2 linked regions of the Nothobranchius furzeri genome follow. The protein of the gene in region 1 purifies or fractionates together with the protein of each later gene. This does not show direct contact. Links are inferred from orthologs where the notes say so. Each region holds a gene or a part of one and is shown in the gene's direction. Other genes may lie near its edges.

What was found.
Region 2: the proteins of usp13 (region 1) and bag6 purify together in Homo sapiens (affinity purification with western blotting; 3 studies listed by BioGRID and IntAct, with this or other methods). This does not show direct contact. The link is inferred for Nothobranchius furzeri from reciprocal best matches to the Homo sapiens genes USP13 and BAG6.

The regions. Positions count from the first base shown.
Region 1 is NC_091748.1:59,240,968-59,245,584, reverse strand, and holds the start of usp13 (ubiquitin carboxyl-terminal hydrolase 13), read left to right. Parts: upstream 1-1,763; 5' UTR 1,764-2,039; coding exon 2,040-2,150; intron 2,151-4,475; coding exon 4,476-4,601; intron 4,602-4,617. Other genes in the region: ndufb5 (NADH dehydrogenase [ubiquinone] 1 beta subcomplex subunit 5, mitochondrial), read left to right, coding at 1-1. UniProt on the Homo sapiens protein: Deubiquitinase that mediates deubiquitination of target proteins such as BECN1, MITF, SKP2 and USP10 and is involved in various processes such as autophagy, endoplasmic reticulum-associated degradation (ERAD), cell cycle progression or DNA damage response.
Region 2 is NC_091745.1:60,787,550-60,791,371, forward strand, and holds part of bag6 (large proline-rich protein BAG6), read left to right. Parts: intron 1-1,688; 5' UTR 1,689-1,698; coding exon 1,699-1,779; intron 1,780-1,994; coding exon 1,995-2,112; intron 2,113-3,822. UniProt on the Homo sapiens protein: ATP-independent molecular chaperone preventing the aggregation of misfolded and hydrophobic patches-containing proteins.

The DNA.
Region 1 (4,617 bases):
ATGAAGATGTCATCAGTTCTACTCTTTGTAAATTTGCCCTCGCTTCCATAAATAAAGTATCTAAGTGGTCTAACGTTTAGTTTGAAAGCTTGTTTACTAGTTTTAAATGGGGAAATGTTCACCTGGATAGGAGCAGCAGAATTTAAAACAATGGTGTCTCGGGCATCTCTGGAGTTCTTGTGTGATTTACTGTTTAAATGGATTTTACATTTGTTGTCACACTAATTTAAACAATTGTAATTTAGATAAAGGGAACAGTGTAAATGTTTTTATAGTAAGGGGTTTTCACTCAAAAGTACACCTGTGTAGGTGTCAACTTGTCACCTAGTTTATTTTCAGTTGGCTGAAAAAGGACCCAGCCTGACTTGATGTAATTTGATAATGTGATACTTGGAAATGGTCATAAGAATAAACATTCAGGAGTTTGGGCTTACACAGATCACACCGCCAAGGAGAAAATATCCAAAGAGTTAGCTGTTTTAATTTAATCTTTGATTCTTGAAATTGGAATATCTAAAACTGGGTGAACAGACTGATTTTATATTTTATTTAGATCCAAATTTCCCCTGTGAACGTTCTTTCTTTCTACATAGGGTTTATACATTTTAAAGTGTAATGTGATTTATGAAAATCACATTCTAAGTGAAAATTCTCAACAGAATCAGAACTAAATAAAACGACATCATTTATTTAATTCACTTTAAAAATCCAAACATATTTAGGTGACAGCTGTCAGTTGGACAAATTAATTCATTCAGGTGTGATGGGACAAATCAGAATGCAAATCTTTGTTGTGTAAAATTATTTAATGTTTTAAAATATTAAGAAATCCAGCGGAATGCAGAGATATCAGTATTTTTAATCACTGAACAATGCAGTCTTTAAAAAATTGAAATGAGCTGGCATTTCATGAGTACAGGCAGAGGTGTGTCTAGGGAGTGACTTGGGGTAGCACATGTACTCCAGGTGCCACCCCACTGAGGTCCATGAAATTGATTTTATGCTGTTCACAAAGGCCTGGGGTTTAAAAACCCCAAAACATACCATACCATGTTTATTCATAAAGCACATTTAAAAACAGCATGCCAGCTGACCAATGTGCTGTACAGTATTAATAAAATAAAAGACGAGATAAAAATTCAGATAAAAGTTTTTTTTTAAAACAGTTGGTGGTAACACGTACCTTTAAGTATAGTTTATTTATATAGCACTTATCACAGACATGGAATCACAAAGTGCTTCTCATAGATCAAAACAAAGTCATAAAATCATAACGATTTCAAAACAGAAATAGATTAACATAAAAAATGAAGTCATAAATTATAAAATTTCATAAACAGATGAAAGATTACAAATTTGAGTTAAAAATAAGAAAATAAACGGTTTAGGTAAATGCAGCTTTAACATTGGTTTCTAGCTCCAGGGCCACAGAACGTTTCAATATTATCATTATTCATAATTTTTTCACTTTCACTCAGTCCCACTTCACTCCAGTTGGTGGCAGTAATGAACCAAGAAGTGACTTGCTAGGAAGAGGAGGAGAGAGAATGTGGAGCTCATGTGAAACCTGTGTGAAACAAGTGCCCCACCTGGAACCCCCCCCCCCCCACCACCACCACCACCACCATACACACACACACACACACACACATTTTAAAAGACCTGGACACGCCTCTGAACCCTGAACGCAGGAGGCCAAAACGTAGTAAATCTGCTTTAAATCCGCCTCTGAGGTGGGCGTGGCTCCTCGAGAAGCATAACGGCGTCGCTACAGAAGGTGTGTCATCTCTGCGCAGGTCCACGTTTCTCCGATTAGAAAAAACAACAACAAAAGGAGGACCGACCTCCGTGCCCTTAACGTCGTCGCCCAGGCAGCAGCCACCCTCCGCTCTGTCATTTTATCTGTAGGGGTTTTCAGCGTCACGTTCCCTGGCTGCAGGAATGTAGCGACGGGGCGCTTTAAAAATAGCATCCGCTCCTGTGACAGCGCTGCTCCGGAGGCTCCGCGGCACTCTGCTGGGAGAAGCAGGAATGCGAAGATGGCTGCAGACCTGGGAGAGCTGCTGGTCCCTTACATGCCCACCATCAGAGTCCCTAAAATCGGAGACAGGGTTTTCAAGAGCGAGTGTGCCTTTTCCTTCGACTCTCCCGTAAGTGGGTTCCTTTCTCTCTCTCTCTCTCTCTCTCTCTCTCTCTCTCTCTCTCTCTCTCTCTCTCTCTCTCTCTCTCTCTCTCTCTCTCTCTCACTCACTCACTCACTCACTCACTCACTCACTCACTCACACACACACACACACACACACACACACACACACACACACACACACACACACACACACACACACACACACACACACCGAGACTTGCTTGGGAGGCTTGTTTGGGGAGCAAATGTGTGCCTCAGGTAGAATGACTTACAGCCTGCTGTGGGGAGCCAGGAAAACACACGCTGTCGAGTGTGTGTGTGTGTGTTTGTGTGTGTGTGGCCACATGTCATGTGAACTTGACAGTAAATGTCTATATAACAGTTAAACGGGTTAATGGGGTTTTCCTTTGTGCCCCCCCCCCCACACACACACACACACTTACGAACCTGTATTTATATGTTTGTGTGTACCTCCATTGACTTCCATTCATTTAGTGACTCCACTATGCCTAACCCTAACCAATGGGTGGTTTTTTGTAACCCTAAACTAAAAGTTAACTCACCATACCTCTAAAACTTGGTGCTGCATTGTGTGGATTAAGGAAATGTCCCCACAACGTGAAAACGTCCACAAGTTATAGGTTTAAAGTCAACATTTGTCCACTTGACCATACGAGGACAAGTACACACACACACACACACACACACACACACACACACACACACACACACATTATTTTAAGATAATGTAATAACGCCACTGCAGCAATGACGTCACCAGGCTGTGTTCATTTGCAGAATAAAGTGTTTATTTAGGCATTTCTAGACTAATCTGGTTGTTCAGGCTCCCTTGTGTTAGTGTCAGTGCTTAATGGCCTCATGTGTGGACGATGGCAGCTTATTCCCAAAAATCACCCCAGGGGCTGTAATTATGTTATCAGTTCGATTTTATTCCTGACCAAATTTTGCATATTTTGGCACCCAATCCTTTTTTGGAACGATGGCAGCAGAGAAGTTAGGTGCCCGTGTGGTGTCATAACTGGAAGGTTGTGGGATCGTGTCTCACTCAGTCTGTCACATTCGTGTCTTTGGGCAAGACACTTACCGTACCAGCTGGTGGTGGTCAGAGGGACCGGTGGCACCTGTGTTCAGCAGCCTCGCTTCCATCAGTGCGCCTCAGGGAAGCTGTGGCTAAACTGTAGCTCGTCATCACCAGCGTGTGAGTGTGTGTGTGTGTGTGTGGCCGATTTTGTTGTGAAGCACCTTGGGGGGGGGGGGGGGGGGGGGGTTGTATATCAAATACAGACCATTTAACATTTTACCAGTTCCCTTTCTGTAATTAGGAAGGTAGTTACCTAACATTTGAATTAGACTGGAATTGTATGAATGTGCAGCATTGTTCTAGGTTTGTTAGATTTTTTGTGCTTTAAAAGTAACAAATTTTGCTCTCAAAGCTTTCCTCCACTATTATCTGGACTGTAACCGTTTTAAAAGGTGACTCAGCTGTCTGGAGTTCATCATGTTGGCCTGCGGACTGGTTTATTTTTATCCTCCCAGTGTTGAGGCTCATATGTCACTCTGGGCTTAAAGGTTTAACACTGGGGTTGATGACGCCCACTATACTGATTTCAGGTTTAAGGGATGCTTTCCTGTTATTTTGTCCTCATGTGAAACCTGGAGGATGTTTTCCCTTTCCCTCGGAGGCAGAGAAGTTATACGGTGCTCCACAGTAATTCATGAGAGATGTAAACTACTCACAGAGGGATTTTAATTAATAAATGTGTCTTTCTGATCCTCAGTGATCCTAAAATAAAAATGCATAATATGTGGGATGAATTTCTGAAGTTGCTTCTTTGATTACGATCTTCTCTCGTTAAAATTAACAGCTTAAAAACTTCTGAGGTGAAACAGAAGATCAGAGAGAGAGAGAGAGTAATATATGTTAGCTAAACTTGGTTGTTCTGTAAAAGGAGACACATTTTTTAGATTTCTCAGTAAAAATGATCTTCTGTTGCAGATTAACGTGAACATGCTGGGACATCTTTCCCAAATGACTGAGCTGGAAAGTGTTTTTGCTCAATTTTAAATTCTCATTCAATTGCATTAATGCCGAAAATAATTATTTCTCTTTCTTGTTTTGAACAAATAAAAATAAAAGTGACCTGATATCTTAAATACATCCATCTTTTATAAAGCAGCCTCCTCTACTGATAAGTTCATACACTTTGTACATTTTGTTTTGCTCAGCAAGAAAAAGCTCCCATGTGGAATATATAAAGTTTTTCACATGTGCTTGTAGTTCCTCACCTGACAATGTTTTGCTCTGCAGGAGTCTGAGGGAGGCCTGTATGTGTGCATGAACACATTCCTGGGCTTTGGACGGGAACACGTGGAGAGACATTATCGCAAAACAGGACAGAGTGTTTACATGCACCTCAAACGACATGTCAAAGAGGTACGTTTTGCATTGA
Region 2 (3,822 bases), on another chromosome or scaffold:
ATTATCAGATGAAAAACTAAATTATCAGACATGCTGTCTCATCTGCTTCTTTTATAAACTTGCAAAAAGTAACAAAACCATTTGAAAGCCACTATTTGTGGATTCTCTGAAAGTTTCCATGGAGTGTGTGACAACTTATTTTTTCATTGATCCTATCGTCTAATCTCACAGCTGAAACAAGCATCCTTAATAATCTGTGCATAGGAAGCTTACCGATGCTGTAGTAAAACAAAAGGTATAATAATTTATTATTAATAAAACCTTGTTGCAGCACTAAAGCAGAAAAATTAGATTTTGCAGTAAATATGCAAAATATTTACATATGAATTGTTTTAGAGCCCTTTAATTGGCAGAATCTGATATTAATTTAGTTCTTACAAAAAATGGGTCCCAACATGGTTTGTGTGGCGTTGCCATAGTGTGACGTCATAGGCACAGATCCCCTGTCCTCTTGTTTGGAAATGGAGATATGATCACCCTACATTAAACTGTCCACCCGGGCTTTTGCACTGCACAGAGACGCTTCGCTGCCTATGACTGAACGTCAGTTGAGAGTCAGTCTCATGCAGACTAACCAATGAAGAGAGGGCCTCAAGTTAAGACCCTCTCCTCATTGGTCAGTCCACACGAGGTGGGTCAAAGGTTACTCTGGGCGGGTTACGTGTTGTCAGGCATTCAAGTATTGAGTATATTTACTGCATATTACAGTAAAATATTCTGTATGTGACCACATTATGGTGATCCTTGGGTCGTGATGATGGAGCCCTTGAATATTGTTGCCCAGGGTACAACAAAGTGTTAATCTGGCCCTGGTTCCGCCGTCACATTCCCGCAGAAACTGGTTGATCACACCGGGGCCAGACTACTAGCGTGTGGTTTTACAACCACAATGTCCTCAGAAGCAAAAACGCTTTTAAAAGGGAGGGAGGAGTCCTAACTGTTGCTGCAGGCGTGTTGTGTGAGAGTGCAGTTATATACTGGTTAATATATTTTTGGGTTCAGTTGCTTTCATGTGGCCTAATGTGAGTCTATTTGGGATCATTGGAATGATCAGCAGCATTTCTTGATGTGACTTTATGGCAGTTGCCCAGGGCATCATCGCAAGGAGGATGGCATTCATTTACTTTTGTTTTATTTGGTATTTTTTCAGTCATTTTTGGAAATAGTGATCAATTTTGATTAATTCACAGCCTATGTTTAATTACATTTAAAATAAATGTCAACAGATGAGATCAAACAAAACAGATGAGAATTGCCCTTAAGCTGTTTAACTTGGACCAAGCATTTTAGGTCACAGATAGATGTAGCTTAGGGTCTCTGTCTATACACCTTATAAGACAATTTAGGTGATGGCATGTTGTTTTTCTGCTATTGAACTGTTTTCTAATAATGTTGTGTTAAATAAAGTGAAGGAAGGAGAGAAATAACGTTTCCCTAGCAGTTTTTAAAAATTTCCCCATGTAATCCGATTAATCGATTAATCGTGTCGAGACCCCATCCGATTAATCGATTATCCAAATAATCGTTTGTTGCAGCCCTACTGGACATATTCTGTGTGTCCATCCACTTTGACTAATTGAATTAGATTAGAATTGACTCACTAATAAAATTAAATCTTTGACTTGTCCTGTAACCAGTCCGAGGGAATCGTTAGAAGTCTATTTCACATAAACTTTTTATTTTTAAAGCAGGATCACCATGGCAGAACAAACGTCTGACATAGAAGTGACGGTGAAAACACTCGACTCCCGGAGCAGAACGTACACGGTTGGTTCTCAGGTAACGGCAAAGTTGCTGCTTCACTTTTACTCAGAGGTTCATAATTTTGTCTGTGTATCTTATTGTAGCTCATGATGTAATGATTGTGTTGCAGTCAAGACTTCAGCTGATGTTTAGCTGTAATCTGGTGCAGCACAGCTCTATTTGAATGATGTTTCTGTACTTGGGCACTTAAAAAGAGATAAACTCACACATTTTGTTCTATCATTTTGCAGCTGACGGTGAAAGAGTTCAAGGAGCACATTGCCCCCTCAGTTGGCATCCCTGTAGATAAACAAAGACTCATCTACCAAGGCAGAGTGCTGCAGGATGAACGGACGCTGGCAGATTACAGTAAACCTTTTGACTCCATTCAGCTTTAGCTCAGGAGATAATTTTATCCCTTTATACAGACAGAAATCAAAATTTTTGGGTTATTCTTAGTGATATGTTTCATGCTGATATTTATGTTGATGTGATTACTATGAGTGGGTTAATTACATTTGTCTCACTGGGCTGCAACTGTGGGAGACAAGTTGCAAACAAGATCCATGAAAGAGTTTTTAAAATGTCTCCGAATATTCATCAGGAATCTAAATTTCCTGAGGAGATTTCCTGCTGAGATGCTTGAAAATGAGGAAAAATGAGCAAATCAGAGTTCACACAAGTATCTCACCTCAAACCAAAACCATCTCAGTTGTTTTCTACTTCATTTGTGTGCATCAGAAGATGACAGACAGCTCTGTACAGGAGTTGGTAACCAAATTGGAATTAAAGTGGGACATGGGGTAGGGCTGTCGCAGTAACCGCAAAAATGAAATATCGCAATATGAAGAAACCCACCGCGCTGCATCATGGGCCACCGCGATTACTGAACTTGGTTCAACTCAGTGATGCATGTTGAGAAGGATGGCTGCACTGGTATCAACTTCGCTCCTTTGGGAGCACTTTGGTTTTCAGTACGTCAGCTGCTGCGCAGCCAGAGTCCTTGGCCGAGACAGAGCTGCCACCAGCGGCAAAAAATAATAATAAACGCTGGGAGACCTGCTGAAGTCCCAGACAAGCACTGCTTCTGCAACCGTCCTGAAGAGAGTTTGAGCCGAGCTGGAGCTCACTCGCTACCTGCAGGAGGAACGCATCCACCCTAAAGAAACCCCCCTGACATGGTGGAGCAACAACCGGGAGAGATTCCCTTTGCTCGCCAGAGTCGCACGCAAGTACGTGTGCGTTAGTGCAACGAGCGCACCATCCGAGAGGGTTTTCAGTGTTGCTGGAAATGTTGCCACCCCTCTCAGATCCTCTCTCAAACCGTATATGGTTAACATGCTGGTTTTGCTTGTGGGTAACAAGGACGTTACCGAGCTATAAATCACCGTCATTCGTGTGTGTGAAAGTGAAATGATAGTGCGCCCACCCCCCACCCCCCTGGCGCGCGCGCGCCCGGTACATGTAATTTTTTTATGCTTGATTTTAAACAACTAAACAAAATGTGGACTTGTTTCTTATTTGTTAGATGCTGCAGCCAAATTTGCATTTAAAAGTTTAACCTTCTCCTGAATTTTGTTGTTTTTAAGTTCAGTCGGACTCCGACTGTCGGAGAAACAAACGTTACTGCGATCTGTGTTGTTACTGCCCTTTGATCTGCATTCAGTAAAGTGTTATAAAAGAAGGCATGGCAATTTTTAACCTTTTTTAAATGTGTAAACATTATGTTTAGATAGTACTGCAATAAAAAAAAAAGGGCTGCAATAATATCGCACACCGCAATATTAAGCCACCCTGAATCACCGCAGGAGGAATTCCTCAACCGCGACAGCCCTGACATGGGGGACACAATTAAGACTCACTGTTACTAAACTGCATGGAATCCTTAGCAAAACGCTCAGTTGAAATTCTTGTGTCTTGGCTGTAATCAAAACTCTTTGCAAAGCTGTCACACCTACCCTTTCTGTGTTTAATTAGCTCATTTTAGCTGATTGTGCATCTCTGACTTGTCGCCTAAAGCTGGAGTCCAGTGAACAACTAGTGAAAAACCAGCTGACTGGAGATATTTAGCTGCTGTTT